Linked DNA regions of Lonchura striata. The protein of the gene in region 3 interacts with the protein of the main gene of each other region in a pairwise test. Links are inferred from orthologs where the notes say so. Each region holds a gene or a part of one and is shown on either strand. Other genes may lie near its edges. The genes, in order: ARPC5L, TSNAX, GADD45G and AFAP1L1.

Region 1 (7,030 bases), on a different chromosome or scaffold from region 3:
ACTTCACTTTACATTAAGCCAACACCAGAGTCCAAGAGTCCTTCACCCACACGTTCTAAGAGCCCTTGTCCCACCCTCAGCTGCAGGATCCCAGCCTGGACACAGCTACCTCGGGACTAAGCAGGACACACGGAGCTTGTACCACCACACCTGGCTAAAGCAGCATCTGAAATACCTGTTCACTTACAGCAGTAGGAGGCAGGAGTGTGCCTTCTCTCTGCCCGTTACAGAAGGGAGCAGGAGAATGTCTTGGCTCCTGTGTGTGATAGTCGGAATATGCAGGAATACCTTTACTCTTCCCCCACCTTAAAGGTTAAAAGCATTCCAAGAGGAGGTTACTGTAGGATTTCAGTAGATTGCAATCTCTAATAAAGATGGACCAGTGTAATTTCAGCTTATTCCTTCTTCTGAGTCCAAACCTGACCGTCACCTCTGTCCAAGTTAACAGTCTTTAGACAGTCTTTCTTGCTGTGAGAACTCTTATAATGGAGCCCAGGCCTCCTACTGCCAGTGCCTGTGGGAAAGGAGAGAGGTTAAGAGTCACCACGTCCCACACAGAACAAACATCAAAGAGTTTAGCACAGAAGGGACTATGGCTCTTCTCCAAAACTAGAAACTGTAATTCTCCACAATCTAACTATCTTTTGCATCTCCAGTGTTGCAAGTCACTGACAGAGCAGAATGTCTCGCCTCCTGTATCCCTGAGGAGGAGGAGGAAGGGCTCACTTCAGTTGAATTTGTGTCCCTCAATATGAACAGTGTTTCCTTCTGAAGTCTAGAAGATGGAGGTGATTATGAAGAAAATAAATTTTTAAGATGACTGCTGGAAGTGGGGTGTTTACTTTGCAACCACAATCCAGTAGATTGCTCTACAGAGTACAAGAGCAGAAGAGACGTGGAGCTGGGAAACATGACTAGACAAATGCAAAGCACCCACCTGGAGCAGGACTGGCAGGTGAAAGCTCCTGAGCTACCAGACCTGCCACAGGCCTTTTCCAGAGGACAGACTGGTACTACCACTGAGCTGACTATGATCTGAGCAAGCCACACGTCCTACCAGTACTGCCACAAAGCAGGACACCAGGCTTTAAACCCTGCCTACTCAGACCTGCCTTGTTCCTTTCACAACAGAGAGCATGAGATGCCTTTCATGTCCCTGCACGCTCTGAGTATCAGTCAGGGTGGTGGTGTGTCACCTCCCACGCTGGGAGCACCACCCACGCTTACCTGAAAGCACCTCAGTGGAAACAACAGGAAAAAAAGAAAAAAAACCAAGCAGAAACATGTTCCTTGCTGTCCCGAGAAATTCTCTCCTCCCTTGTCAAGGCCTGGCAAAGCTGGTGACAGCAGCCAATAGCTGGAGTCACGCTACACCAGCTTTATGTACAGCAGGAAAAAGCTCTGCACCTCGGGAAAGGACAGTGGCATTCACAGCAGCTGCCCTGCACAGGGAGCTGCAGTGTGCCCAGGGATCAGTTTTCCTAGGAGCACTGACAGCCTGGGCTTCAGCCAAAGCCCCTGCAGGGGGGGAAGACTTCACTTGGATTCCTGCCCGGGGGCAGGGGCACCCAGCAGCTGCTTCAGGGCTGTGCCTCAACCCAGAATGTGCCTGGGCCCATCACACACAGGGAAGAAAGTTGCAGTATCAGCTTCTGAACACATCCCACACTCCCTGTTTCACAGCTGACATTCCAGAGGAACGAAAGAGGCCCCTGCTGGTCCCCATTGGAATCTTTGGAGACCTCAAAATCCTCTCCTGGGCAAACCAAACAGGTTTGCTAAACCCTGTGACTCAGCTGATGCAAACTGCCAGCCTGACTCCCTGAGCTCGGCCCCAGAGGAAGCTGCAGCTGCCCCGTCCATCCCATCACATCTCCACTCCCACCCTTCTCCTTGCTGGAGCCCCTGCCTGCCCTGGGGGCCAAAGGCAGCACAAGGAGAACTCCCTGCTGCAAGTTTCCTCTTCCCATGGCAGAGGGTAAGGTTTGAAATACAGGCAAAGGCTTTGTGAATGCAGGCTCAGAGAGAGCAAAGGTAAAAGGAAACAGTGAGCAAAGGTAAAAGGAAACATTCCTCCTCAGGGATGAGGCCCTGCCCCACCTGCTTCTCTTCAGGGGCTCTCCTGAAACCACCACTGGCCAGGACCCTGCGAGCGAGCCAAGAGTGCCCCCAACACGTACCTTTTCATGCCACTGGAGTAATATTGCACTGCTGTTTTCTGTTGGCTTTTCAAATCCTTTATAAATGTACTTCATTAACAAATCAACACCGTTTCTGTCTAAGGAATTCACCGCTTGTTCTATTTCACTGCTTTTAAAAGATGTGAGGACTTTAAGCATCGTTCCCTGCGCCTGCTCCTGGGAAGACAAGGCAAAGAGAGAAATGTGAGGACGAGAACAGCTGGAAACGATCCCAAGACTCGTGTTTGGCAAGAGGTGGCCACGCTCCAGGCTGGGTTGTCTGGGTGAGCGCGGTGAGCAGACCTGGGGTTAGCGGAGGAAGGGTGAACACGGCGGGATGCCCGTGCCAGCACGCTCAGGGCTGTGCCGGCAGCAGCGGCGCCGCTCAGACCGGCGGGGCGCCGCTCAGACCGGCGGGGCGCCGCTGTCCCCCCCGGCCCGTACCTTCACGGCCTGGCTCCGGCTGCTGCCCGGGGAGCTGCGGATGGCGGCGTGGAAGGCGCGGAGCGCCTCGCCCGTGCGGCGGCGGTCAAGGACTCAAACGGGACCTGCGTGCGCGGGACCGCAGCGCGGCTCCGCCCCGGCCGCTCCCCGGGACCCCCGGGACCCCCGGCCCAAAGGATATTGCCTGAGCAGCGCCTCCACCTCGGGGCCGGCATCGGGCTCGGCCGCCGCCGCCTCCTCGGGCTCCTCCACGAAGCGGTTCTCGTCGTACTGGTCGATGTCGAGGCGGCGGAAGCGGGACGAGAGCGTGCTCCGCGCCATCGCCGCCGCCCGGCCCCGGCGGAAGCGGCGGCGGAACCGGAACGCGCGGCGCCGCCCCGCCCCGCCCGGAAAAACAGCGCAGCCCGGGAAAATCCCAACCAGCCTTTAATGTACGCGTCCCGCCGCTGCAGCGCTCGCGGCTCCGGCCGGGATCCCGCGCAGAACGGACAGACCGGGAACGCGGAACAGCCCTTGGAGCGCTTTATTGGGATCCACGTAACACTCGGAAAACGCTGGCTCGGTCCTGCGCCGTGAACGCAGCACGGGCAGCCCCGGCCCCGCCGCACGCCGCGCGCTGACTTTGCTGCTGAAATTTCTTAAAACTTAGCAAAAACAAAAAGTGAACAAGAGACGGGCCCGAGCGGCTCCCGGAGCGTGGTGGTTAAAGGAATCGGTTCATCTAACCCAGGACTAGGCGAGGACTACATGCAGTAGTACAAATCTCAAGGACATATTACAAATACTCTGAAATTAATCTAGGGGCGAGGGAAAAAAAAACTTGCTACAGACACCATAATACACAATAAATTTAGATAATTTAAAAATAAAAAAGGCAAGAGGCAGCATTTCAGCAGCAAAGTGCTCAATAAAAAGTATATTGAAAAGGGGCAGGACAGGGAGAGGTGAGAGCAGGCGGGCGAGGGCTCAGAGGAAGTACGGCGTGGTTGTCCTGGGAGGAATGACACGCTCTGAGTCTGGAACTGCGCGGAATAACTTTGGTTCTCTTGTATTTACATCTTTAAAGACCATGATGGAGGCGATGTTCCCGCAGCGGTAGCAGTAGTTGGGAGCTGACCATACCGTTACCAACTTCTCATCAAACATGAATTTGTATCCTTCGTGGACGAGCTGGTGCGCTCTGCAGATCAGCTTCAGGTTGTTGATGTGAACAAACTGCAAGGGAAGGGGAAAATCAGCGTGGCCCGAGCGGCTGCTGCCCACACCACGTCTGCTCCTGGCCTGACCGCACACAGCAGCATGGAGAACACAACAGGAGGAGTGAGAGCACTGAGAAACCCCTGTGAAACCCCTGTAAAACACGGCTGGCGACACCCGAGCTCTGAGGAACAGCATGAGTCCTGGGGCTGTGCTGTCCCCAGGCTCAAGCCTTCCTAACATGCTGTGCCAGGGCCACACGACAACGCAGTTGAATGTGGCCAGGTCAGAGCCTGCCAAGGCCAGTGTGTAGAGCCCTGAGGAGTCTGCTCAGCACAGACACAATAAAATTAACTCAAAAATTGCTTAAAAAATGGTATTCTTCTCCTAGATCCTTAGGAAACCATTCCATAGACAGCCCAGGAACACAAGTAAGTCCCACCACATCAGACTTTTCAAAAGCAAGATAGGCATTAGTACATCTGGCAGTTACATTTGTGCTTTTAGGTTGAAGTGGCTCATTTTTTCCATCTGGCACAAGCCACGAGTTACTGGCAGAGGCGTGACGGGGGAGTTTGGTGTCCTGCAGTGCCCTGGGTGCACTCAGCACCACCCTGAGCTGAGCCCGTGGCTCCCCCATCCCCACCCCGGGCTGCGTGGCCCCGAGCAGCAGCGTTACCTCGTTGGTGACCTTGGCCCCGAAGAGCCAGCCCGCCCCGCGCGGGCTGATGGCCCACGTGTCCACGTCCTCCGGGTCCGACCACACCAGGTCGCAGAAGGCGCCTTTGTGAGGGATTTCCTGGTTCCGCTCAATGGTCCGGATCTGGTCCAGGGTCTTGATGTCTGGGGAGAGGCCTCCGTGCACGCACAGGATCTGCTCGTCTATTAGCTGCAGGGAGGTGACACGTGCACAGAGCCCTCAGCAGCGCTGCCGGGGAGCTGCAGCTCAGCCTGCAGCGCCTGCCAGGACCCCACCGCTGCTGGCCTGGCCTCTGCACTTACAGCTGCTATCGTGAGCATGTCGAAGACTTTGGTGCAGTACCTCCAGGCGTTGGCGTTCCCGTATTTGGTTTGGCACTCATCTGTTGGAGAGAACGGGTTTGTTCCTCTTGGATCTCGGGGAAACACTGACGGCAGAACCTGCATGCTCAGCTGTGTCACATGAGCTCTGTGCTGGGTCCTGCTGCTGCCCAGAACCAGCACCAGCAGCAGGGAGCAAGAACCTCACGCTCTGCCTGTGCCACTGAACGTGGCACAACACAAGCAGAAACCCCACGTGCCAGAGGAAAAGAGCAGCGAGATCTGCCTCAGACACGTTCCATTTCAGAAGCACCGTGACCTTGTCACCAGTAACAAGCTGCAGCCCGTGTCCCAGCCAGCCCCGAGAGCCCCGGCCCCGTGTCGGTGCCAGCGTGCTTCCCGGGCAGGACTCACCGTAGAACCCGTACACCTGGGTGATCTGCCGGCTCTCGTGGTTGCCTCGCAGCAGCGTGATGCGGTCAGGCCACTTGGCTTTTAGTGCAAGCAGGTATGTGAACGTCTCGAGGCTGTAATACCCTCGGTCTACAAAGTCCCCCTGGAGGCAGAGACGGCGGCACTTGGAGCGACAGTCACACGGGAAAGTGCCCGGTGACAGATCCGCCCCCAGCTCCTCAGTGCCACAAGAACCCGGCGCTGCAGGGCAGGGGATCTGCGGGACCCGCGGGGCTCTCCTCCCCTCACCGCTGTCCTGAGCTGACCCGGGACAGCCTGGCAGGGCGGGATGCTCTGCCTCACCCCCGGGCTCCCGGCAGCACAACTGGGGGCAGGAGCCAGCAGCGGCCCCGGGACTCGGGAGCCCCTCGGGACTTCCCCCCAGCCCTGTCAAACCCGGCGCGGCCCGGCCGCACCTACCATGAAGATATAGTTGGTGTCGGGAACCTGCCCGCCGGTCCGGAACAGCTCGCACAGGTCATAGAACTGCGGGGGGAGAGCGGCGTGAGGGGGCACCGGGCACCGGCACCGGCCCCGGCCCGGGGCTGCACCGGGAGCGGCCCGGCCCGGCCTTACCTGCCCGTGGATGTCCCCGCAGACGGTGACGGGAGTAGAGACGGGCTGGACGTTGGACTCCTCCAGCAGCAGGTCACAAACATAGTCACAGAGGCGCTACGGGAGGAGCGGGGCAGGGTCGGGGTCAGCGCCGGGACCACCGGCACCGCCCGCTCCGGCCCGCCCGGCAGCGCCCACCCCGGCCCCAGCCCGCCCCGGCTGGCCCCGGCCCGCCGCCGCGGCCGCACCTTGAGGTCGTTCTCGGGCAGGTACTTGCAGAGCCGCGCGATCTCCACGTACTTGTCCAGGTCCAGCGGCGCCATCTTGGCTCGGGCTCGGGCACGGCGGGCCCCGCCCGCCACTTCCGGCCGGCGGAGCGCGCCGCGGGCGCGGGCGGAAGCGCGGGGCACTTCCGGCGGCACTTCCGGCCGGGCCCGGCAGCGGCCATGGCGCCGTGGGCGCTGCCGCTGCTGCAGCCGGGGCGGCGGCCGCGCCCGGGACGGTGGTGAGCGCGGCGGGCACGGCGGGGGCACGGCGGGGGTGATGAGGGCACAGCGCTGAGCGCGGCGGGCATGGCGGGGGTGCTGGGGGCGCGGCGGGGGCACAGCGCTGAGCGGCCGGGGGAACCGGCGGGCCCCGGGCCGGCCCAGCCCGCGCTGAGCGCCGCCCTCGTCCCGCAGGTACCGGCTAAGCCCTTGCGGGGAGCGGCCCCGCGGCCGCGTGGGACTCGGCTGCCTCCTCCTCCCCGGCCGCGTCCTGCTGCTGGCCGGTGCCGACCCCGCCGGCGCCTTCGCGGACGCGCACTTCCTGGAGCTGGGTGAGGGCCGGGCCGGGCCGGGGCCGGAACGGGGACCGGGACCGGGACCGATCGCCTGTCCCCTCCACAGCCCCGCTGCGCTGGGTCCCCGCCGGCTGGCGCGGGCTGAGGCCGCGCTACGAGCACGCCACGTTCCTGCCCGCCGGCCGCGCCCCGCGCCTCTGGGTGTTCGGCGGAGCCCACCCCGCCGGGAACCGCAGCTGCGTTCAGGCGCTGGACCCCGGTGAGTGCCCCGGAGCGGGGCTGCCGGACGGGCTGGGCCTCTGCTCCCGCGCTGGTTGCTCGGTTAATCGAATGTCTTCACTAGAAACAGGAACGTGGGAGAGCCCTGCAGTGAGGGGGGAGCAGCCACAACCTCGCACAT
Region 2 (7,543 bases), on a different chromosome or scaffold from region 3:
CTGATATTCATGACAGTAAAAAATTAAAAGTTGAAAGTACAGTTGCTCTACTCAATTCAAGAGCAACCATACTCAATATAAATGATAGAGTGGTTTGGTTGAAAGAAACCTTCCAGATCAGCTAGTCCAAAAGGACACTTTCCACTACATCAGGCTGCTCAAAGCCCCCTCCAACCTGGCCTTGAACACTTCCAGAGATGGGGCAGCCACAGCTTCTCTAGGCAAAGTTCAGGGGTCATGGTTAATCATCTGCCAAGTTGATTTACACAGAAAAATATAAACACCCATTTTTTAAAAAGCCAGAAGTTATATGACATTGAAGGACATATTAACCATCTAAAGCAGCCAGCCAGCTTATATTTTACCCTTCTTAGCATCATAAAAAATATGTGGCACGGGGAAAATTTTACAACAAGAGTTAATCTGCTCCCCATCTCAAATCTCCTTCCTTCTTCAGTCAAGGCTTCTCATTTCTGAAGGTCAGCTTTGCTTTCTTAGGAGTTGTCTAATGAGAAATTTAAATTTACTGGAGTTTAAATCTGGTTTGCTGAAAAAGCCTATAAAAACAATTTGGCTGAAGGAAAGTTTACACCTGCCTTTTTAAAGACCTTTGAATATATGTTAATATTTAAAAGGCATTCAAAGTGAATAAAGTGACTACATAAAGGTCTATATTAGTTCGTTGAAGTCTTTTTTTTTTAAAGTGCAGGTATAAACAACTACCAACTCTTAAAACAATACATTAAAACAATTACATTTCCTTAGCTTAGTCATTTGTGCATCACAGCCAAGGTCAGAGCCTCTTCAGTTTCCCAAAGGTCACCATCTCCTCCTGTTGCTCCTGTGGCTCAGATTTTGTATTACACCTCTGCAGATCCTACATTTTTCTGTCACCAAAGGGCCCAGTCACCTTTTGTCTGGCCGAACACTTGTGCAATTTGCTCAGCATCAGGTTCAGCACAAGTGAGAAGGGCAGGGGGAACAGCAGGTGAGATGGAAACAGGAGCAAGTCATGAACCAGGCAGAGCTATGCAAAATCCCACTCCCAGGACTTCACTGCACAAAATGCAGAACACTAAGCTCTAAAGGTATGGAGTATGAGTTGAATTAGTTTCAAGCTTCTCCCTTGGAGAGAGCTGGCTTATTTCACTAATAACTTCCTAGCAATTTCTGCACCACATTTTTAAAACCTGGTTTTCCAAATTCTTACTTACATTTAAAAGATGTCATCAAAGCTGAAGGTGGATTAACATTCTCTTTTTCTTCTCTTTTTTGACCATGTGGAAAATGATCATGCTTTCGCTTTCTGAACCCACCTGATCCTATTAAATAATAGACATAAAAAAATAAAATTAAAAAATAGTTTTGCCAGAGCAAAAGGAGCACCAGAATGCTGTCTTCAGAGCATTTCTGGCTGCAATCATATTCTACAGGACAGAATAAGGTAATTGGATGAAACTTATTATCAACTGACGCCAACTTCACATTATCATGTTACTATTTCTTCCACATTGCTAGTGAAAATTAGAAAAAAAAACCCATTTCAATGGATAAGCAGATGGTTGCATGAAAATCTGTGATTTATGTCACAGGTCTTAACATGAAGAAGAAGTGAGGCACAGTTTAAGCAGACTACCCCTACCCAAGTATATAGGTTTAGCTCCTGCAGTGCAGCTTCTTACGCCCCTACACTCTGCCCATTAACCAGTTTCTTCTCTGAATGTAGCTGCTCACTTCTACTGCTCTGTGTGCCTCTTCCTTAACCCTCGTTTTCAGACCCACACCCAGAACTCATCTCTTTTGGACTATGTTTTACTCCAAATTTACACCTTGTATTGTTTCTTCCTTTTATCCTTCCTTCACCTTGGACTAACATGACACATCATGTCACCCATGTGTCAACTACTCCTCTCTCTCCCTCTTTTTGGTGACAGCTGTACACTGTTCCTAACAGAGCCAAAAATTTGGCAAACTTGAATACAGGCATATCTTTTGAATTCATTTAGTTCTTTCAATTTCCTTAAAACAAGAACCAAGGGAACACTGGATTTTAAAATGCTTCCGCTTAATTGTTTATTATCCCAAACCAAAACAAGAAGTGGGCGTAGCTACTTTCTTAAAGAGGAAACCAAAAATATTTTTTTCTTTATTTTATGTTGGACATGAGTTCAAGATTTTTTGCTTTTCCTATAGCAGTTGAAAACATTAAATGAACCCCCCGAAAGAGAGATGAAGGGAGGTCTGTGTGATTCTCGGTAGTACCAAGCAATAGGACAAGAGAAAACGGGCAGAAATCAATGCACAGGAAGTTCCATTCTTCCTGACTACACGGGAGAACTTCACTGTGCAGGTGACTGAGCACTGGAACAGGTTGTCCTCAGGCTGTGGTGTCTCCCACACCGGAGATGTTCAAGAACCATCTGGACACAATCCTGTGCCAGGTGCTCTAGGGAGACCCTGCCTGAGCAGGGAGCTTGGAACAAATGATAGCGCCGTGGTCCCTTCCAGCCTGACCCGTTCTGTGACTGCCAGGGCTAAACCAACACAGAGACGGCAGAGCAAGCTGTGAAAAATATGTATTTCACATATATATTGTGATGTATATATAATATTTTATACGTACATATACACCCACACACTATAATGAACAGTTAGCACAAGGGCTTCACAGGCCTCACACACTCAGCTTCCCTCTGTGGCATCTGCTTTTCCACCCCAGGGATACCGACCCCTCCAGCCACGTTCTGTGGCAGCCGCACAGCCGCAGCGGGAGGGCAGCGCCCCCGAAGGAAAGGTCCGTGACACCCGTGAAGGGGCGGCCTCTCCCAGGGCCAGAGGAGGGACCCGCTGGCCACGGCACAGGCTCCGCACCCCGTCCCCTTCCAGCCGCGGGGCCTCCCCCCGCTTCCGCCAGCTCCTCACGCCGCGGTCTCCTGAGAATGGGGCAGGGTAGAGCAGGGTAGGGAAGGGAAGGGCAGGGGACATCACCTTCCTTGCCGCTCATCACGGAGCCGCCGCCGCGCCGCGTCCCCCCGGCAACCCGCAGCCGCCCCGCGCGCCGCCAGGACCCCGCCGCGCCGCCCTCCGCCCCCGCCCTGACGGCGCCATGCAGGGGCGCCCCGCGGGTGCCTGACGGCGAAACGCCACACAGGCGGCAACAGCCCGGCCCGCCGCCCGCGGCGCGGGAGGCGCGGTGCGGAGGTGCGGAGCGGTGGCGGCGCGGAGCATGGTTCGGACGTTGCTGCCCGCGAAATCGGGGCAGTGCCGAGGCCAGGCCGTGCCTCCGAGAAGGCGACTCTGTGGGCAGCTAGTGTGCGACCCCTTCGTGGGGCCTCAGCGCCCGCGGCATGACGGGACATGTAGTGCCGGGCGGGGCGGTGGCGCGGTCGGGGTGGAGCCGCGGAGCTCTGGGTTGCGTGCGGCTGGCGTCCGGTGTGTCCCGCATCCAGAGCAACCGTGGTCCTCGGCTCGGACCGCAGAAATCTAGCGACAGTCCTCAGCCCAGACCCGCGCTGCCTAGGCTGTCATGTCGCCTTCCCGTCACCCCACGACAGACTCCTTACTGCCGCTTTCTTCCCCGGGCATCCCAGGACTACGGCGCTTCCAGGGAATCACAGAATCGGTTGGGTTAAAAAAGACCTCTGGGATCATCGAGTCCAACCTATGGCTGAACTCATGTCAACCAGAGCGTGGCACTGAGTGCCACGTCCAGGGAGAGTCAAAACACTTAAGCACTTCCAGGGATGGCGACTCCCCCACTTTCCCAGGAAGCCCATCCTAGTGTCCAATTGTAACATTCGTTCTGTGAAGCAATTCCTCCTCGCGTCCAACCTAAACCCTCCCTGGTACAGCTTCAGACTGTGTCCTCTGCTTACTGGCTGTCCACTTCTGTCTCAGTGCCCCTTTCCTGCCCAGCATGTCAGGATCCAGGTGCTCTCCTCCCAGGCAAGGTGACTGGGAGCACCCCCAGCGCAGCACCAGGTGCCCCCTTACTCCCCTTTAGTGCCCATCTGTCGCTATAGGACACGTAAAAGCACAACGCGAGCCGCTGCTATTTGCAAGGTAAAGAAGAAGGAAGTTTATTCTCTGACTCCAACTTTTATACTTTTCCAAAGGTGACAGTGGATTGGAGAGTGAATGGGCCACCTCTCCAAACACATTGGACGAACTACCAGTACATCAAGTTTCTCTGCCCCTATGAAGGAATGCAAAACAATATGTTGTTTATAGAAAATTGTGTGAGAAAGTTTTCTAACAGAATGTAAATTCAGAAGGCTTTAGAAAATCTTAAGAATCAGGGCGACACCCATCCACACAGTGTGCCAGGGCAAGGAGGCCAGGGAGGATGGCAAGCTGACACTGAGACAGGCTCTGGAAACTGGAGACACTAACTGGACATCGAGAAGATCTGATAGTGAAGCCACCTAATACCAGGAAAAGAAATCTGAGATGCAGTGAATGTAGCTGCTGGTACAGAGGAGGCAAATTCCCAAACTCAGGATATTTGCATCCTGGTAAAAATTATGTTTCCTCTACTGGAGACTTGGTGTGAGTGTTCTCAGGATAGGAGTGTTCTCACTGCAGGAATGACCACGAAGGAGATGGACGCACACCATAAATACTTCCCAGCACAGAGAGCTCTTGATGATGCTTCTCTTCTTATGATGAGCTACAAAAAGTCTGCTTGCCTACTAGGTTTATACTTCCCTACACATGCATCCTGATGGATTCCTCCGATGGAAGGAAAATAGGGATGGGTCTTGCAAATCCCCAAATTAAAAGGTTTGCAAATCATCAGTCTTGCTCCTCTGCTGATAGATCTTATTTCTTGTCACAGCTGTTGCCTGTTTTAGTAGCTGGATTCCCAAGGAAACAAAGCTCATATGAGCACAAAGGCGGAGTGCTTGCAGCCTTTGTGTGTGGGTGTGCATGTGTGCCTGTCCTTCCTCCCCACCCTTAATAATTTTTTAATCTGTTGGTCAACTGGTCGATCTGATTTGACAGAGGGAAAGAGCCTCCAGGAGTGATTATAAACATCCTGAGTAAGGAAAAAATTTTGGGTGGAACTTGCACCTTACTAGAAATCAGATAAACCCAGCTGTGAAATGCAAATGCTTCAGAGTCAAAAGTTAGCAGAGCCCAGCCTGTGGGAGTTCTGGAAGAGCAGAGCCACTAGCCCAGTATCAGGTCTTTTGCATTTAACAAATAAACAGCTTTTGACAAACTTGAATATCAGGTGAATCTGTCAACAGATTCAGGAGGATAGTAACTCACCTCACTCAGATAGCAGAGAAGTAAAACTTTGACAGTGAGGTTTAAAGTCTCCAGGCAGCCAAGCAGGAGTTGCTCAAACCTGGTATTTTCAACTGTTGAGAACATGTGACTGTCATGCAGTGTTCAAAATTATTCAGAAGTGTAACATAAAACCTTTCTCCAATTTCCTAATCTGAGAAAACAGATTTCAATCACACTTGAAAAACAGAGGACAAAGAGAATCCCGGCAGAACTTCCTCAGGCCTGATCTGCATATTGAGTTGTGCAACAGCTTGATTGCTGCCCTACCAGCTGCACAGGAGATTTCTGCTTTCTATGGGGCAAAATCAGGACATGAAATTATTTGTGTCGGTGTTATCGCTGCACACATTCAGGCACAGCCTTTTGTTTTAGAAGATGTACAAAACTGCTTTTGGAAACACATACCTTTTTTTTTTTTTTTTCAAACTGTGCTATTTCCCTGTTCTTGGCAGCTCTTTGGACAAAAAGCAGAGTTGTTTTGGTTATATCAATGTCGCAGGAGAGTGGAAATAGTGCCTGCTTCTGAATGCTTCCCAGCAGTGGAGAATTTTCAGCCAATTGTAGGGAGTGAAGGTCAGGTCTTCAGCCGATTTTTGTTGGACTTAGTGACACTTTGCACGTGCACTGATATATTCAACTTGTTTGACTTCAACAGGATGCTGTTGTGAAAAACAACTGGTTGGGGTTTTTCTTCTGAAACAATCCACTTAAATGTAGCAGCATTAAACCACTTTGGTAACAGGTTAGCTGCAGAATTTTTCATTTTCTTCTAGCTGGTATTTAAACCTTTTCCCTTCCCCTTACAGTTTTGTGTTCTTTATGCCTGAAGAGAATGGCATCTGCACCTCCACAAGTGTGAAGGTGGAATAACAACATTTTGAAGGAGGAATTGGTAGGAGAAAGGAGTTGTGAGGATTTAGGTTAGGGCAAAACCCCCAAACAAGCTAACAACAAACTAACAAGGTTTTCTCAGAGACTTAAGATCTAAAATGTTGTATATGGATTGCACACGACTGCGCTCTTGAGCCTAAGACAAGGTTGGTAACTCAGCTTTCACATAGGAAAGAAGTGTTTTCCAAGACTCAGGGCTGTGAGAACACTGCACAAGTGCATAGACCAGACAGGATCTGCGCCTTTCTGAGTGGGGAAAACAACTCTGTAAAACAACTGTAGGGAGTTGGAACTTGTCCATTCATTTTATCCCTGAACTCTGCTGCTTTGGGCAATGATCTGCTTCAGCAACACTCCTACACAATGTCCTTCAGTGAGGCTTCTGGTCCTCTGCAGTACTATCAGCAAACACCACCTCAACATGGCACTCAAGGGAGCAGGAAAGGAGTCCTTCCTTTTCTGTAAAAGTCCAAGTTTAACACTGACTCAGCTGAACTCTGTGAAGGGCAGACAGAGGAGTGTGGTGGGCTCAGCTCAAGAACCACACTAATGAGGCTGCTTCAACACCTAGAGCTTCAAGTAATGGAGCTGTGCAGAGGTAGGACCCAGGTGATTTGTCAGGCACATGAAATTACAATTTCTTTCTGCCCTCAATAATTTTGATGCAACTCTGTGGAAACTGTTTAAGATCCCTGAGATCCCTGGCAGAGTTCATGGTGTAGCTCTTCATGCCCCTGTATGCCTCGTATAGCTTTAGAGACAAATGCTATCTTTGTGGTGCCCTCCCACGTTTAAATAACCAGCCTGGGAATGTTTCCTAAAACTTCTGCTAAAGCAGAATAGCACTATGGATAGTTAGAGCTGGAATTGTCCTGGCATATCCTTTTAGGTTTCATTTTATTTCATGACATAGCATAGTACTCTTAGAGCAAGACTGTGAGGTTGCCTTGGAGATGCAGGGCTTAGCCACGGGGCAAGCTGTCACACCGAAACGTTCCCATTAGCCAGGGTAACTGCGAATGCTTTCCACAAACAATTGAGTGAAGTGAAGTGACAAAAAGCTTATGAAACGGCCACAGGGGAGTTGCATAAACTGGGGTCAGGTGGTCAATTTGAGACTGTTCCATGACCGAGGAGTTTCGCAGCTGGTTGATGAAAGGAAGCGGGGAGGTCAGCTGGTCTCTAGCTGTTATAACAACAACCTGTTATGTTTCTCAGGCAACAGAGATGCCCACAGCAGTGGCAGGATGGATCAGGAGGATGATTTCCTCATTTCCTGGAATAAAGTTGGAAAGCTGTGAATATTTTACTGCTGGTAGAATTTGAGATTTCAGGATCCAAGTGCTAATACACCATG
Region 3 (6,774 bases):
AGTTTATGTACAGAGGATGCTACCTGGTTTATGAGGCGTGGGGATCAGCAACTTCTGTTTCAGGTTCAGTGGAAAGAAATTATATGAGGATGAGGTAGGTGACCTATTGATCTGCTGGAAACAGAAAAAATCAGCTTGATTAAATCATCTTGAATTTAACCACAGAATTTGTAGAGCTTCCTAAAACTTGTGTTCAGTAGGAAGGTTTTTGATTTGGTTTTTATTTGGTGACATCCACACCTGGAGAAAGAAGCTTGCTGGGTGATTACAATAGGTCTGCAAGGGAGGAGAACTGGAGGGAGAACTGGAGTGGGCGAGGGAGATGGAAATGGAAAGGGAGAGGGAGATGGATTTGGAAAGACATTGAGAAGGGAGTACTGCATCTGAGCTGAAAGGACTTGTCTATCTTGGTAGAGTCTTTCTGATGGAAAGTCTGGATGTGCAGCACAAGCCAGGGGAGCACTAGGCAGGTGAGTGCAGGTGAGTGCAGGGTAGGAGCCCCATGGCTGGGGGGTCTATTACCATGGCTTGCAAGCCTTTTCTGATGTGGAAGGTGTGAGTCTCCTCTTACTTAGGCCAAGAGGTAATGTCCCTTTTTGCCGAGCAGCTCTTAAGCCAATTCTGTCCCACCTGTAGTGCTGCATGGGTTTGCTGAGAGTAAGTGCAGAACCCAGCACATTGCCTCATTGTCCTTGGCCCACTGACTGAGTCGGTCCAGATCTCTGTAGAGCCTTCCTTCCCTCGAGCATGTCTATGGATCAGGTAACACACTTTAGGGGATTTATTTTGTGTAGGATGTGTCAAGGTCTACTTTTCAGTTTGGTCGGTTGGCTGTTGTTTGTGGTGGCTTTTTGTGCGTAGTTTTTTTTTTTTTTTTTTTTTTTTTTTTTTTTGGGTTTGAGTTTGGGTTTTTTTGTTTGTTTGTTTATTTGTTTTTCTCTTCCCGTGTCTCCGCTGTAAGCGTCCCGGGTGGCCGCGAGAGGTCAGCGCAGCCCGAAGTTCAGTTTGCTTATTCGGCATCCAAGGTACCACATCTGCGGAGCTGATGCCTTCCAGCCAGGGACGGGGCCTTGGGCTTGCAAAGCGCTGCTTTCTGCAGCTCCTCTCCTGCGTCAGAGGCCTGGTGTTGATACTGTGCTTTGAAACAAGCGGGATCAGCTATCTCGTAATGAACGCTTCATGGCCTTCAGCACCATCTGTGCTAGGAGACCTGGGAATAATGGGGCACACTGAAAAGTGTGATGTCAAGAAGCCTTAATTCCGGGGTGCTGCATCATTAAGCTGAAACTGGAAGCTTGCATGAAGGATTAATATGTTAATAAGGTTCAATATACCACTTTATTATCTAGACAATTATATATATTTTACTATTACATATACTCTGTTCTCCACTCTGAGTTACTTTGGCTTACTAATTCGGATCCATCTGAAGTAACTTTAATTTTTAGTGCACTGAGAAAGTCATCAAAGTGATAGCTGATATCAGCATCTTTCAAAGCTGTGAGTCAGTTCTGGGTTTTCCACCTATTTCATCAGAAATAGGCCCTTGAATATATCTGAGACATACCACTTAATGTGTCTTACCATTCAAGCTACTCTTCTGCATTCATCCCCATTTATATACTTAGAGGAAAAAAAAACAAACAAAAAAACAACAAGCAAACCAGGAAAAAGAAAGAAGCAGATGTATGAAAGGTTTTTATCTTTTGAGAACAAACTGTACATGCTATGTATACTATGCTAATTCCAGCAAGTGGAGACAATTGCACTTGCCTGAATACAGGCCAGGAGATAATTTTCTGGAGACTTCTCACATCTTTTTTAGAGAAGGCAAAGTAAAAATTTATGCCCTTCTCACTCAAATTCAGACTGACAAGTCACTGGTTTGGTTTCCAAGTCTTTGCACGTTAGTAGGGTAAAAAAGATTGCGAGGCTCGAGGACTGGTGTTTACAATGAAGAGTTTTCTTCCCAGTACTGACAGCTCTGTAGACATCAGAGAAATGTTCTTAGAGAGGCTGGATGTGTCTGGCAGACATCATGCCTATGTTGTCACTAGCTTAAAATGGCAACTCACTAAGTGATTACTGCCAGGTTGAATGCTGTCACCTCTCGTGTCACCAGGGTCTCTAGAAACAACTGGAAGTAGAAACACAGCAGCTCATTAAAGTGGCTCTCTTTGAGAGGCATTTTGGAAATTGTGATGCTCAAAGAGACTGAAACTGAGCAGAGTATAGCATATTCAGTCACAGATAAGACGTGCTTCATCCAGGACTCCCGGTGAAGTCTTGGAAAGGACACCCCTGTGTTTCAACACTTTCGGATGGGTGTGGCTGCAAGCTAGAGAGCAGCAAGGATGACAAGTTAGGTCGCAGTAGCACAGGTTATCCCAAGGAGGCTCCGCACAGCCTCTGTGGGACCGCACGGCGCTGCTCTGAACCGGTGACTCGGTGCAGACAAGTGCTGTAAGCTTAAGCGTGTCAGATGCTGAAGGGACGTGAAATGTGATTTGCCTTTTAACATTGTCTGTTGCTCATTCACAGCGGGAAAATATGGTTTTTTCTTGCTTGGTTTGCTGACAAACAGGTTCAAATCTGAGTTCAGCAATCACACTCGTTTCACTCTGAATTAATTATGAACACTGTCCAAATTACAGCTATTTTTAATAAAACCCGACTGAAAAAAAAAAAAAAAATGCTCTGTTTGCTCACACCACCCTCCTCTCCCAGGATCATAGACCAGCACAGCCTGCAGAAGGGTTACCAGTGACCTCAGAACAGGTCTGCATGGGGGCAATCCTGCAAGGATGAAATCTACACAGCCTCCCTGGACAGGAAGCCTGCTCTGCTGCTTGACTGTTCTCAGGGAGAAAGGATTTTTCTTACATCCCATCTGAGCGTCTTGATTACACTCCGCTCATTGTCTCCTGCTCCACTAAACATTGCTGTGAAGACCCCGGTGTTATCTTCCAAATGATCACTCGACGGGTTTTGGGCTCTGCAGTTTGCCACCCAAACTTTGCCTTCCTCAGGCTGAGCTGGCCCTGGTCCCTCAGCCTGCACAGCTTTGGACACCTCGGTGCCCTCATCTGCACTCCGGTTTATCGGCGTGTTTCCCCGGCCGGGGGTGCCCAAACCGGACAGACCACATTGCTGCGTCCCGGAGTGCTGAGCAGAGGGGGATTATCACCTGCCTCGGCCGGCTGGCCGTGCTCCTGCTCATACAGACCAGGGCGCGGCGGGGATTTCCTGCAGCCCGAGCCACTGCTGAGCATCACCAGCTGCCTGCCCAGCGCAGCCCAGGACCTCTAGAGCGCTGCCCTTAGCCCTGGTTACAGGGGCTGGCCCTTCGCGGCGTACACCCTTGCAGAAACCATATTCATAAAATCTCTTGTTTATTTTAATTTTTTTTTTTAATTTTATTTCCCCTGCACTGTACAGATTTTCCTTCCAAGTCTTGGACACAAATCGCCCTATTACTTGCCAGTGCCTACGGGCGACCGGCGTGCAGGGAGCGGCCACGCCTGCAGGCAAACCGCTGGCACTGCCGGCACCGCCGGTATCGCTGGCACCGCTGGTTCGGGCTGTCTGGGCCGGCTCCGCTGTCTGTCTGTCTGTCCGGGCCGGCTCCGCTGTCTGTCTGTCTGTCTGTCTGGGCCGGCTCCGCTGTCTGTCTGTCTGTCTGTCCGGGCCGGCTCCGCTGTCTGTCTGTCTGTCCTGTCCGGGCCGGCTCCGCTGTCTGTCTGTCCGGGCCGGCCCGGCTCCGCTGTCTGTCTGTCCGGGCCGGGCCGGCTCCGCTGTCTGTCTGTCCGGGCCGGCCCGGCTCCGCTGTCTGTCTGTCTGTCCGGCCCGGCTCCGCTGTCTGTCTGTCCGGGCCGGCTCCGCTGTCTGTCTGTCTGTCTGTCTGTCCGGGCCGGCGCGTGCCCGCGCGCCCCACGTGGTCTCCCGGCACGAGCCACTCTTTTCCCCCCCCCCCGCCCCGATCTTCCTCTCCGGCGCGCGCCGATTAGCATAATAAAGCCGCCCCTTTCTCCCCCGCCGGCCAATGGGAGGCCGGGAGGCGCCCGCGAGGCCTATAAGTAGCGCACGCCGGCCGGCTGCCGCCTCAGAGCGCTCACGGCGTGCGCGGAGCCACAGCTGAGGGAGGCGCGGGGCCGTGCGGACTATCTGCTATGACTCTGGAGGAGATCCACGGCCAGCAGCCCATGCCTGCGGGGCACGACTGGTACGTGCGGGTGGGCGCTGGGGAGCCGAGGCGAGAGGGTAGCGGGCGGTTTCGGGGCGGCGGTGGCGGCGGCGCCGCGCTGACCCGGTGTCTCTCTCGGCCCGCAGGATGCAGGGCGCCGGCACGGCCCTCCACGAGCTGCTGGTGTCGGCGCAGCGCCGCGGCTGCCTCACCGCCGGCGTCTACGAGTCGGCCAAGCTGATGAATGTGTGAGTACGGCGGCGGGGGCAGGGCAGTGTGCAAGGCAGCCCGGCGGGGCTGCGGGGCGGCCGGTGCCGACCGCGGCGCTCACCGGGCTGCTCCCCTCTCGCAGCGACCCCGACAACGTCGCGTTCTGTGTGCTGGCTGCGGACCAGGAGGACGAGGGGGACATCGCGCTGCAGATCCACTTCACTCTGATCCAAGCCTTCTGCTGCGAGAACGACATCGACATCGTGCGGGTGAACGACGTGGCTAAGCTGGCGGCCATCGTGGGGCCCAGCGAGGACTCCGGCGAGCCGCGCGATCTGCACTGCATCCTCATCACGGTGGGTGTCCCGCGGCTCTGCCCGGCGCGGCCCCTGCTCCGCTGCGGGTGGTCGAGTCCTCTGCCGGGCACAGACAGAGCGCTTGGCACGCAGCGAGTCAGCTGAGTGGTAGGAGGAGGAGGAGGCAGAACTTCTCGTAACTGGATTTCCTCCGCTGTCCGCAAGGGCAGCATCTCTGCTTCCTGTCTTGTCTGTGTCAGGACAGAAACTGTCTGGAAGTGCTTCCAGCCCTAAGCTAATGCTTCTGTAAATGTTACGATGACCTCAGCTGACGGGCAGCACTCACGGTGTGCAACTTTTTTCTTTTCTGCAGAACCCGAATGAAGAAGGCTGGAAGGATCCAGCTCTGGAGAAGCTGAATTTGTTTTGCGAAGAGAGCAGAAATGTCAATGACTGGGTGCCAACTATCACCCTGCCTGAGTGATGGTCACCTGGTGCACCGGGGAGGCTGAAACCTTTGTTGCATTCTCAACGTGCTGTGCGTTCACCAAAATGTGCAACAAGCTGCTGATTCCATGGATTAGCCTGGTCAAGAGACTGGATTAAAGTGCCTCAGACTGGCATGCAGTGGGCTCTTACAGAGAAGAAAGAGGAAAACAGCTCATCTCACCAGTGAGCCTCAGTAGGCTGCAACCGTGGAGAGGCTGACATACCATGGAACTGAAAGAAGTATTGCAAGTTTGGCTATGTGGAGCTGTTTCAGAAGGGAGAGGGAAAGTTGAGGGAAGTGGGCCAAAACTTTCCAGAAGGACTGGATAGAGTACTGTAACTAGGAACTGTTGGTGCTGTCTGCAAAACACACCAGAAAGTATCAATATTTATGGAGTATTGGGGATTGCTTACTAAGACAAATGCAGATATTCCAAAGCAGACAGACTTCAACAGGCCTCTTGGGTCACTCTGCAGATCTGTTTTAATACTGCAATAACTTTTATTGAAATATTTGCTGCTATTGAAGCTTTCATAATAAATTTTTGACAATTAATTTCTGGGAGTGTCTTGCTTGCTGGGTGTGGGGAAGCATGTCACTTAAATACTGCTGATGTTTTGCTTGTGTGCTGTAGTCGAAGATCGGCTTCACAGTAATGGAGTTATTGCTCAAATACTTTGCTGGGCTGGCTGAATGAAGTGCTGTGCTGTCCAAGTTGATAATTCAACCTTTACCCTCTTGTAACAGCTGCTTATCGCAACAGCTTGCAAGACGAAGGAGTCGCATGCCTAATGAGCTTACTTATTGTAATAGCAGGTCTTTGTAGTCTGCTGGAGGAGCACAATGCATGTTAGAAACATGGATTTTTGGAATACAGACCTCCAGTAAATTGCATCATTGATTCTTAAATATGACTTAGATGCATTCAGAGCTGACGTGTTTCCACTTGATAGAAGTGGCTTAAACATGATGGGGGGGCTGCAAAACTCCTTAGATGTCAAACACATCTAACATTTGCTTTGATTAGAATGACATCATTAAATCTAAAACTAGCAAATGGTGAATAAACATCACATCTGCCACAAGCTGCTCTCTGATTGCCATATGCTGTAACAATAGAAGCTGTCAGTCCAGAAGCCAATTTTGTGAAACCTAATTGCATGACAACACCAAATTAAGTCCAAAACAATTTAAGGATGGTGTGGCCCTTTTTAGACATTCTGTCATGAAAAGTTAATATGGGTGGGTTGATTTGGCCCTATGTTAAAAGGGAAAACATCGCCCCATTTTTGTGCACAAACTATGCATGTGCTCCAGGACTTGACATTAAAATGGCACAGTAATAATCCCCTCTCCACGGAGCAAGAAAGCTAAACTACTCACTTCCTTTATAGGCACTAAAACCACTCAGTTATCACAATTGCATTTCCTCTGGGCTGGCTTGCAGTGATTGACAGTAGCACTTGCTGAAAAGTGGTAATTTCCACTTGAGCAAGGAAGCTGCTTGCTCTCAGTTTCATTGTTCCCAATAAGGGAAGTTCAAATTCAGCTCCAACATTCCTGGAATATGCTTCCTTGTACAGGCGGCATCTAGC
Region 4 (7,259 bases), on a different chromosome or scaffold from region 3:
GTGATGGTGACATGTCCCTTCTGCTGTCCCACAGAGTACAAGGTAAGAGCCTCCTGCTGCGAGGAGCCACCCGCCGGAGCTGGCAGTGCCAGGGAGCATCCGTGTGCCCCCGGGCTCTTTGGGGGAAGCTTTGCCCTCTGCCTCTCCTCTCCTCCATCCTGGACCTGCCGGCCCCACGCCAGGGCTGTGTCCCTCCCTCTGCCAGGGCTGCTGGGCAGATGTGTCCCCTGGGTGAGGAGCAGAGCAGGGGGTTGTGCTGGTGCTGTCCTGCTCACGCTCGTGCCTGGCTCATCCCTGCTCTGCAGAGTGAGCAGCTGAATCTCCACGGAGGATCGGGGTCACCCCCAGAGCAGTCCCCACCTCTCCTTGTCCCAGCTGTGCCACCCAAACCCTGCTAAATACAGCAGGAGTGCCAAGTGTGCCCCGCGTGCCTTGTGGCCGCCCCAGTGTCCCTGTCCCTGTCCCCGTGCAGATTTACCCCTACGAGCTGCTCCTGGTGAAGACCAGGGGGAGGAACCAGCTGCCCAAAGACGTGGACAGGACTCGGTTGGAGGTGAGAAGAGCCTTTTTCACTGGGGACAATCAGGGCACAGCCCTGGCACGCGGTGGCCGTGGGGCACACGAGTGGCAGGGCGCTGCCACGGCTGCTCCCTGCGCAGGGGCAGGAGGGAGGCAGGTGCTCCCCTTTCTGAGGGAGCAGTGCTGGGGCTCGTGTCACCCCGTTGTCCCTGCGGGCAGGGGGTGCCCTCAGACCCCCTGGAAGGTGCCCAGCCTCCCGTTTCTCCCCAGAGACACCTGTCCCAGGAGGAATTCTACCAGATCTTCGGCATGACCATGGCCGAGTTCGACCGCCTGGCGCTGTGGAAGAGGAACGAGCTGAAGAAGCAGGCCCGGCTGTTCTAAGCGCAGTGCACTATAAATATATACATACCTATAAATATATACATAGAGAGATCTCTATATGGCAGCTCTGTATGATTCTCGGGGCTGTACGGGCCACAGGGGCCCTCCCTGCCCCCCTGAGAGTGAATTGGAGTCTTGCAGATCGTTTGGTGCTCTGTGTTTCATTTCCAGCCTGATTTCTGTGTCGATCCCTGAGTTCAGCCCACGCTTGGTGTCTGTCACTGCTGCCCCTCAGGGACACCAGGGGAGATTTTCCTGCTGCAGCCACGGTGCTTGGGGCTGGCAGAGAGCAGGATTTGGGATGGGGGCTGCACTGGGGTGTCCCATCCCCTTCTGCTCAGCTGGGGTGTTCCTCTATTTGCAGGAATAGCTAATTTCAAAAATTAGTTGAAGAAGAAGTCACAGCTGGCCTCAACGTGCACAAATGAATATTTTTCCAGGATCATGGGCTCATGTTTAAGTTGGAAGAGACCTTTGTGGCCATTGAGTCCAACCGTTAACCCAGCACTGCCCAGACCACCACTAAACCACGTCCCCAAGTGCCACATCTGCATGTCTTTCAAATTCCTTCAGGGATGGTGACTCCACCACTGCCCTGGGCAGCCTGTGACAGTGCTGGACAATCCTTCAGAGAAGAAAGTTTTCCTAATTTCCAATCTCACCCTCCCTTGGCACAACTTGAAGCCATTTCCACTTGTGCTTGTTCCACTTGATATTTGGAAGAAGAGGCTGATACCCCCTCACTAATCTTCTTTACAATTGCAGTTTAGAGGAACATTCCAGCTGGGGTGGAAAAGGCCCTGGGCACAATGGCAGGAAAATGGGATTTCACTCCAGGCTCCTTAAATCCATCCCTGCCTTGACATGGCCAGGACTGGGGGCACTTCAGGATCTGAAATGCAGAGCTTGGGGCAGGGGATGGAAGTGGTGGGGACATCAGTCCCAATCCCTCCTGGGCTGGTGGCTTTCCCTGCAAGCTTGGGTTGCTCCAGAGCCAGTTTATCCTCCCAAGAATAGCCCAGCCCTTCTTAAGTGGAACAGCCAAAGCCACCTCCTGCCTTCTGCAGTTTCCTGCTGCTCTTCAGGTTTGTCCAGGGCTGAGTATTCCAGGAGATTCCAGCTGGGAGCTGGGGGAAGGCCAGAGGAGAGGAGTGGGAAATGCAGGTGCCACCACCTGCTGAACCTCTGCTGGGTTTTCCTGAGTTCCCCATCACAGCTGCCTGACTCCCTGATGAATCCCTCTGGGAATGAAGGCAAACTCTACCTGTTTGTGTCCCAAACTCTATGGGATAACTTTTTTTTTTTTTTTCATAAAACCAATAAGTTTGTTTCCACACAAACATCTTCCCTGCTGTCTGTGGTGCTCTGCTTTCCCGTTTGCTCATCCTGCAGGATTTTCAGGCATAGAGCAGGGTTGAACTGTCCCAAAACCAGGCCAGGGACCTGTGGGGTACCTGCAGGAGCTGGGTCAGCTGTGAAGGGACAGCACAGGTTTTACCTCCACTGTGAAACCCTCCTGTCCTGGTGTCCCCATGGAGCAGATTCAGTTCCCTCCCTGCCATCCAAAACTGCCCAGTTTGTTGCCCAAAAATCCATCAGCAGGTTCCCCCTGCGGGGTTTGCCAGAGTTCAGGGCAGGAGTTTTCCCAGCAGCAGCCCCAGCCCTGGAGCTCTGTGCCAGCCAGGACAGGGCTGGGGATTGAGGTGGAGGTGACAACATCGCCCTGGGATCTGCTCATCTGCTCCAGCACAGCACTAAACGAGCAGAGTTTATTTGTAATTATTTCACTCATACAGAAAAGGGCTCTCTAAATCAAACTCAGCTGTTTGTGGCTGTAGGAATCGTCCCTCTCCAGCAGCAGCTCCAGAGAGGCAGCCTGGGGGATGTTATGAATAACAGTGATAACACAACAGCAGGATCTTTTCATTTCCAAAGTATTTTATGGGCAGTAACACAAGGACCTGCATGGCAAAGGTGGGGAAACTGAGGCAGGGCTTGGGGTTTTTTCTCTCAGAGCCGGGGCAACCTCTCTGGGGCAGCAGACACTCCAAGGGCCCCTGCTGGTGTGCCACTGCCCTGGTGGGGTGCAGGGACACCCCAGGTGTCACCAGCTGCCCTGGAAGCTGTCCCTGGCTGCTCTGCAATTCCCAAAGCAGCCTGGTAGTGTTGGCAGCCCTGGATTGAGATTCCTGCCCCAACCACAGACCCAAAGGTGATCCCAAATTGTGGAAGAACATTGGGGCTCGATCCAGAATGGAGAGACCATCAAACACCACCCCTGCAGGAGCTGGTTCCCAGCTGGGCGTGGGGGGATGAGAGGGGTGAGTTCCCTGGGCTGAAATTGCCCCAAAAAGGGGAATTTCTCCGTGCCAGCTGCTAATTTGCAGCTGATATTTTAATTATTGCTTTCCCAAGTGATAATAATTGGGTGGGTACGTGTGAAAGCTCATCACACTGCTGTCCCCACGGGGCTGAGATTCAGCCCAGACTGTCCTGGCAGTGCCACAGCCTCTGTCCTTGCTGCCACACCTGGGGCACTGCCACACGTCCCACAGCTCTGCCAGGAGGTCTGTGCTGGTCAGGGACACGCTGGGCACAGGGGGAGCAGACGGGAAGGGGATTTTGGGGAGGGGGAAACGAGGAGTGTGGGCTCGGGAGGACAGAGAGGGGATTTTGGGGAGGGGGAAACGAGGAGTGTGGGCTCGGGAGGACAGGGAGGGGATTTTGGGGAGGGGGAAACGAGGAGTGCGGGCTCGGGAGGACAGGGAGGGGATTTTGGGGAGGGGGAAACGAGGAGTGCGGGCTCGGGAGGACAGAGAGGGGATTTTGGGGAGGGGGAACGAGGAGTGCGGGCTCGGGAGGACAGGGAGGGGATTTTGGGGAGGGGGAAACGAGGAGTGCGGGCTCGGGAGGACAGGGAGGGGATTTTGGGGAGGGGGAAACGAGGAGTGCGGGCTCGGGAGGACAGAGAGGGGATTTTGGGGAGGGGGAACGAGGAGTGCGGGCTCGGGAGGAGCTGTCCTTGCTGCGGGCTGTGGGAATTCGGGATTTTCCCCCGAAACCGAAGTCGCCCAACCTCGTGTCGTGGTGGAGGGGCTCACTCAAGCCCCGCACCCTTGCCACGGGGGTCTCTGCGTGCCGATGGGGACGCAGGCTGGCAGGGGACCCCAGCCCCAGCCCAGGGCTGTCCCCGCGGGCTGTCCCCGGTGCCGTGCCGTGCCGGGCCGGGCCGGTGCTCGGCGCTGCAGTGCTCCGAGCGAGGGAGGGAGGGAGGGGCGGGGGAAGGGATTGGCCGCCCCCAGCGAGAGCCGGCCCCGCCGGGCGGCCGCTGCCCCGGCACTCGCCCGCCCGCAGCTCCCGGGGCGGCCGCGGTGCCGCGGCTCCGCACCATGGACCGGCTCAGCGGTAAGGGGACGGGACGGGATGGATGGGACGGGACGGGATGGATGGGACGGGATGGGATGGATGGGACGGGACAGGTCGCGCATCCCCTGCCCGCAGCACAGCGCGGAGGGCACCGCGGATGCCCGTGCCAGGCGAAGGGAATCGCGCATCCCGTCGCAGCCGAGCGGCCGCATCCCCCCGGCTCCGTGCGGGACGCTGCTCCCCCCACCAGTCCTGCAGCAGGGCCGGCTGGGGTAGGAGCTGGAAGCAGTTTTGCTTTGCTGGTAGGATGGGTAAAACGTCAGGAGCCTGCAAGGGAAGCTGCGGGGTGTACGCGTTTGTTAAATTGTGGTCGTGGAAAGGGAGGTGACGTTCCCCGATGGGGCCGATGGGGTGCAGAGGGTTTCCCCGCCGGGGAGTCTCCCGAAGCCGCGGAGGGCCCGGTCCCCGCCCTGCCGGGGAGCAGCTCCATCCCACACGTGTGCGATTGCTGCCTGCAGCCCGTGGCACCGGGCTCACGGAGCTCCCGGGCTTTGATCTGGGATCTGTGTAAACCTGCCAGGGCTTGGGGGCAGCTCTGCAGAGAAGGTCCTGGCGTTCTGCTGGGGCTGCCAGATCCCTGCAGGGAGCGCGGGGAGGTTTGCAGGGGGATTGCTCCTCGCTGCTGCTGCTGCGGCTGATTGCATCGGGGTGCACGGGAGGAGCAGGTGGTGACACGATGGAGCGCGGGGGTCCTGCCCCTTGACCTGTCCTTGGAGGTGCTACAGAAACAATGGCCAAAAGCCATAAGAGAGTGGCCAGGGGCGTCTCTGGCTGCCGGGGCTGGACCGAGTCCCAGGGTGGCTCAGGAGTGCTGTGTCTGCAGCCCCGGGGCAGCCCCGCAGAGACCCAGGGGTCAAGAGTTCCCCTCGCCCATGGAAAAGGATGGGGTGGCGTTTCCGCACTGGAAACAGCCCGGAGGAGTTTGGGACTGCTGCGAACACAGGCGCGGTGTCAGCGGCCCGCGGGTCGGGAGGGGACGGGGACAGGGATGGGGACAGGGACGGTGACAAGGACAGGGACGGTGACAAGGACAGGGATGGTGACAGGGACAGCCGTCCCCGTGGCTGTGTCCAGCCGGGGTGGCTGTGCCCGCTCTGAAGGAGAGGGAGTGCTTTCAAGTGACACTTGATGCCAGAGCTGTCCTCCAGGGTCCCAGGGGACGCCACTGCTGGGGACAGGGGGACAGAGGGTCTCTGATGAGAAATTCCCTGTTTGCGCCCCAGCCCACCCCAAAAACCAAACCTAGGACCCGATGGCAGGGAAGGGGGGGATGCCCAGCTGAGGGAGCCGTGTCTGGGCATGGTTCGACCTCTCCACAGGTTGACCCTGCCAGGGAAGAGCTGTTTTATCCCCCTCGCTGGTGCCAGCGACAGCAGCGCCTGCCTGCTTTGTTTTTGAGTGCTTGTGATGAATTGCTGTTGGCACCTGGATGGCTTTGCTAATGGAGAGCTCCCCCTGCCCCTCCTGCTCATCAGCCAGAGCTGCTGGATCCCTCTGGGGGCTGTGGCTCGTGGAGGGAAGGTTCCTTTCCCCAGTAAAAAGGAGGGGTCTGGCGTTAGGCAGGAGCTCTGTGCCCATTCCCAGTCTCTGGCAGCCCCTTCCTTCACCTGGAGCTGCTGTATCCCGATATTATCATCTGCCAGTTTTTTCTCGTGGCTGACTGGGAGGATTAGTGCTGTGGGCTGTTGGCAGAGTTGTTTCAGGTCGTGCTGATGGAGAACCCAGCTCCCAAAACGTGATTTGGGAGGTGATCCTTTGCTCAAACACGCCTGTGTTCACACATGGCTTCTCCTCCCTCGGTAGTGTCTCTTCCCTGACCTTTTGAGCCACCACAATTTAGGTCCTGCCCCAAACTTATCTGGGCTCTAAATCCAGGCAAGCCGGCGGAGATGTGTCAGGGATAAACTTGGCTCCAGCTCGCCCACAGGAATGGAGAGGCTGCGGGACGGGTGGGAGGGAGCCGGGATCATTCCTGCCGGGCTGGCAGCAGGAATCCTGGCGGTGGCAGGAAGGGCTGGGGGTGCTGAGGAGCACAGCCCGGGCCAGCTGTTAGCGCCGGGCAAGTGCCGAGCTCTGCTCCGCATTGCAGCCATTCCTTCCCCGAAACCCGGCCGCCGCCTGTTCCCAGCCCCGGGGTGCTGGGGAAGGGGCTGAGCCCCCCTGGGCTGGGTAGAACAGGCTGGGAGGTGGGATGCTGCTGCTGCTGCTGATGATGATGATGATGAAGGGCTGGAGTTGTTTGCCCCTCTGGATTTTCCCATCTCCCGCTGGCCGGAGCAGGGAGAGCCTGGATCCGTGCGAAGCCTCCCGGCAGCTCTGGAAGGGCACAGGGGGGCTGCTGGAGAGGGGAAGGACATCGTGGCATGGTGTCCCCCCAGCCAGGAGCCCTGGGGACTGTCCTGTGTGCTGCACTGCCTGGAAAACCTGCCTCTTCCCCGCTCTTGACCTGGAAATGTTCTTTTCCTGTGCAAACGTGCTGAGCTGCGAGGCTGCCCTGGGCCGAGCAGCGGTGCCTGAGCTCCCACGGGCCTGCAGGAGGTTCCTCTCCCTGCCCAGGAAAACTTTGTTTAAGGTTTTGAAGGAGCTGTCTCACCCCGAGCAGTGGGAAGCCCGTTCAGAGGAGAACACTGGGCTGGACCCAAGCTCTGCCTGTTGTTCAGTGGCCAAATCACTTGCTGGGGACAGGAGATAACAGTGGAGCAGAGCAGAGGCTTGAAGTGGTTTCTGGCTTCCCAGACTTGTGTCCTAACCCCCCAACCCTTCCCTATTATCTAGTCTGGCACAGCTCCCCCTCCCTCCTGAGGAACACATCTCCTCCTGCATATGAGGAGCCCTAAAATGAACGACACAGCTCTCTGTCCTGTGAAATACCGATTAAATGTCACCGTGCCAGGCCAGCGACAAGACAATGGGGCTGGAAACCTTTCCCT

The links.
Region 1: the proteins of GADD45G (region 3) and ARPC5L interact in binary tests that used the Homo sapiens proteins (3 or more experiments, as listed by UniProt). The link is inferred for Lonchura striata from reciprocal best matches to the Homo sapiens genes GADD45G and ARPC5L.
Region 2: the proteins of GADD45G (region 3) and TSNAX interact in binary tests that used the Homo sapiens proteins (3 or more experiments, as listed by UniProt). The two-hybrid records come from large-scale screens. The link is inferred for Lonchura striata from reciprocal best matches to the Homo sapiens genes GADD45G and TSNAX.
Region 4: the proteins of GADD45G (region 3) and AFAP1L1 interact in binary tests that used the Homo sapiens proteins (3 or more experiments, as listed by UniProt). The two-hybrid records come from large-scale screens. The link is inferred for Lonchura striata from reciprocal best matches to the Homo sapiens genes GADD45G and AFAP1L1.

Annotation. Positions count from the first base shown.
Region 1 is NC_134624.1:10,673,444-10,680,473, forward strand, and holds the start of ARPC5L (actin-related protein 2/3 complex subunit 5-like protein), read right to left. Parts: upstream 3,001-7,030; 5' UTR 2,946-3,000; coding exon 2,806-2,945; intron 2,707-2,805; coding exon 2,625-2,706; intron 2,358-2,624; coding exon 2,181-2,357; intron 515-2,180; coding exon 452-514; 3' UTR 1-451. Other genes in the region: PPP6C (serine/threonine-protein phosphatase 6 catalytic subunit), read right to left, coding at 3,591-3,839, 4,501-4,710, 4,824-4,903, 5,256-5,397, 5,715-5,780, 5,871-5,966, 6,098-6,172; RABEPK (rab9 effector protein with kelch motifs), read left to right, coding at 6,296-6,354, 6,530-6,666, 6,737-6,889, 6,974-7,030. UniProt on the Homo sapiens protein: May function as component of the Arp2/3 complex which is involved in regulation of actin polymerization and together with an activating nucleation-promoting factor (NPF) mediates the formation of branched actin networks.
Region 2 is NC_134605.1:43,691,252-43,698,794, reverse strand, and holds the start of TSNAX (translin-associated protein X), read right to left. Parts: upstream 3,020-7,543; 5' UTR 3,005-3,019; coding exon 2,989-3,004; intron 1,323-2,988; coding exon 1,215-1,322; intron 1-1,214.
Region 3 is NC_134642.1:8,198,403-8,205,176, reverse strand, and holds GADD45G (growth arrest and DNA damage-inducible protein GADD45 gamma), read left to right. Parts: upstream 1-4,120; 5' UTR 4,121-4,169; coding exon 4,170-4,222; intron 4,223-4,329; coding exon 4,330-4,431; intron 4,432-4,535; coding exon 4,536-4,749; intron 4,750-5,062; coding exon 5,063-5,173; 3' UTR 5,174-6,264; downstream 6,265-6,774. UniProt on the Homo sapiens protein: Involved in the regulation of growth and apoptosis. Mediates activation of stress-responsive MTK1/MEKK4 MAPKKK.
Region 4 is NC_134617.1:1,774,679-1,781,937, reverse strand, and holds the start of AFAP1L1 (actin filament-associated protein 1-like 1), read left to right. Parts: upstream 1-4,258; 5' UTR 4,259-4,292; coding exon 4,293-4,308; intron 4,309-7,259. Other genes in the region: ABLIM3 (actin-binding LIM protein 3), read left to right, coding at 35-42, 473-553, 790-903. UniProt on the Homo sapiens protein: May be involved in podosome and invadosome formation.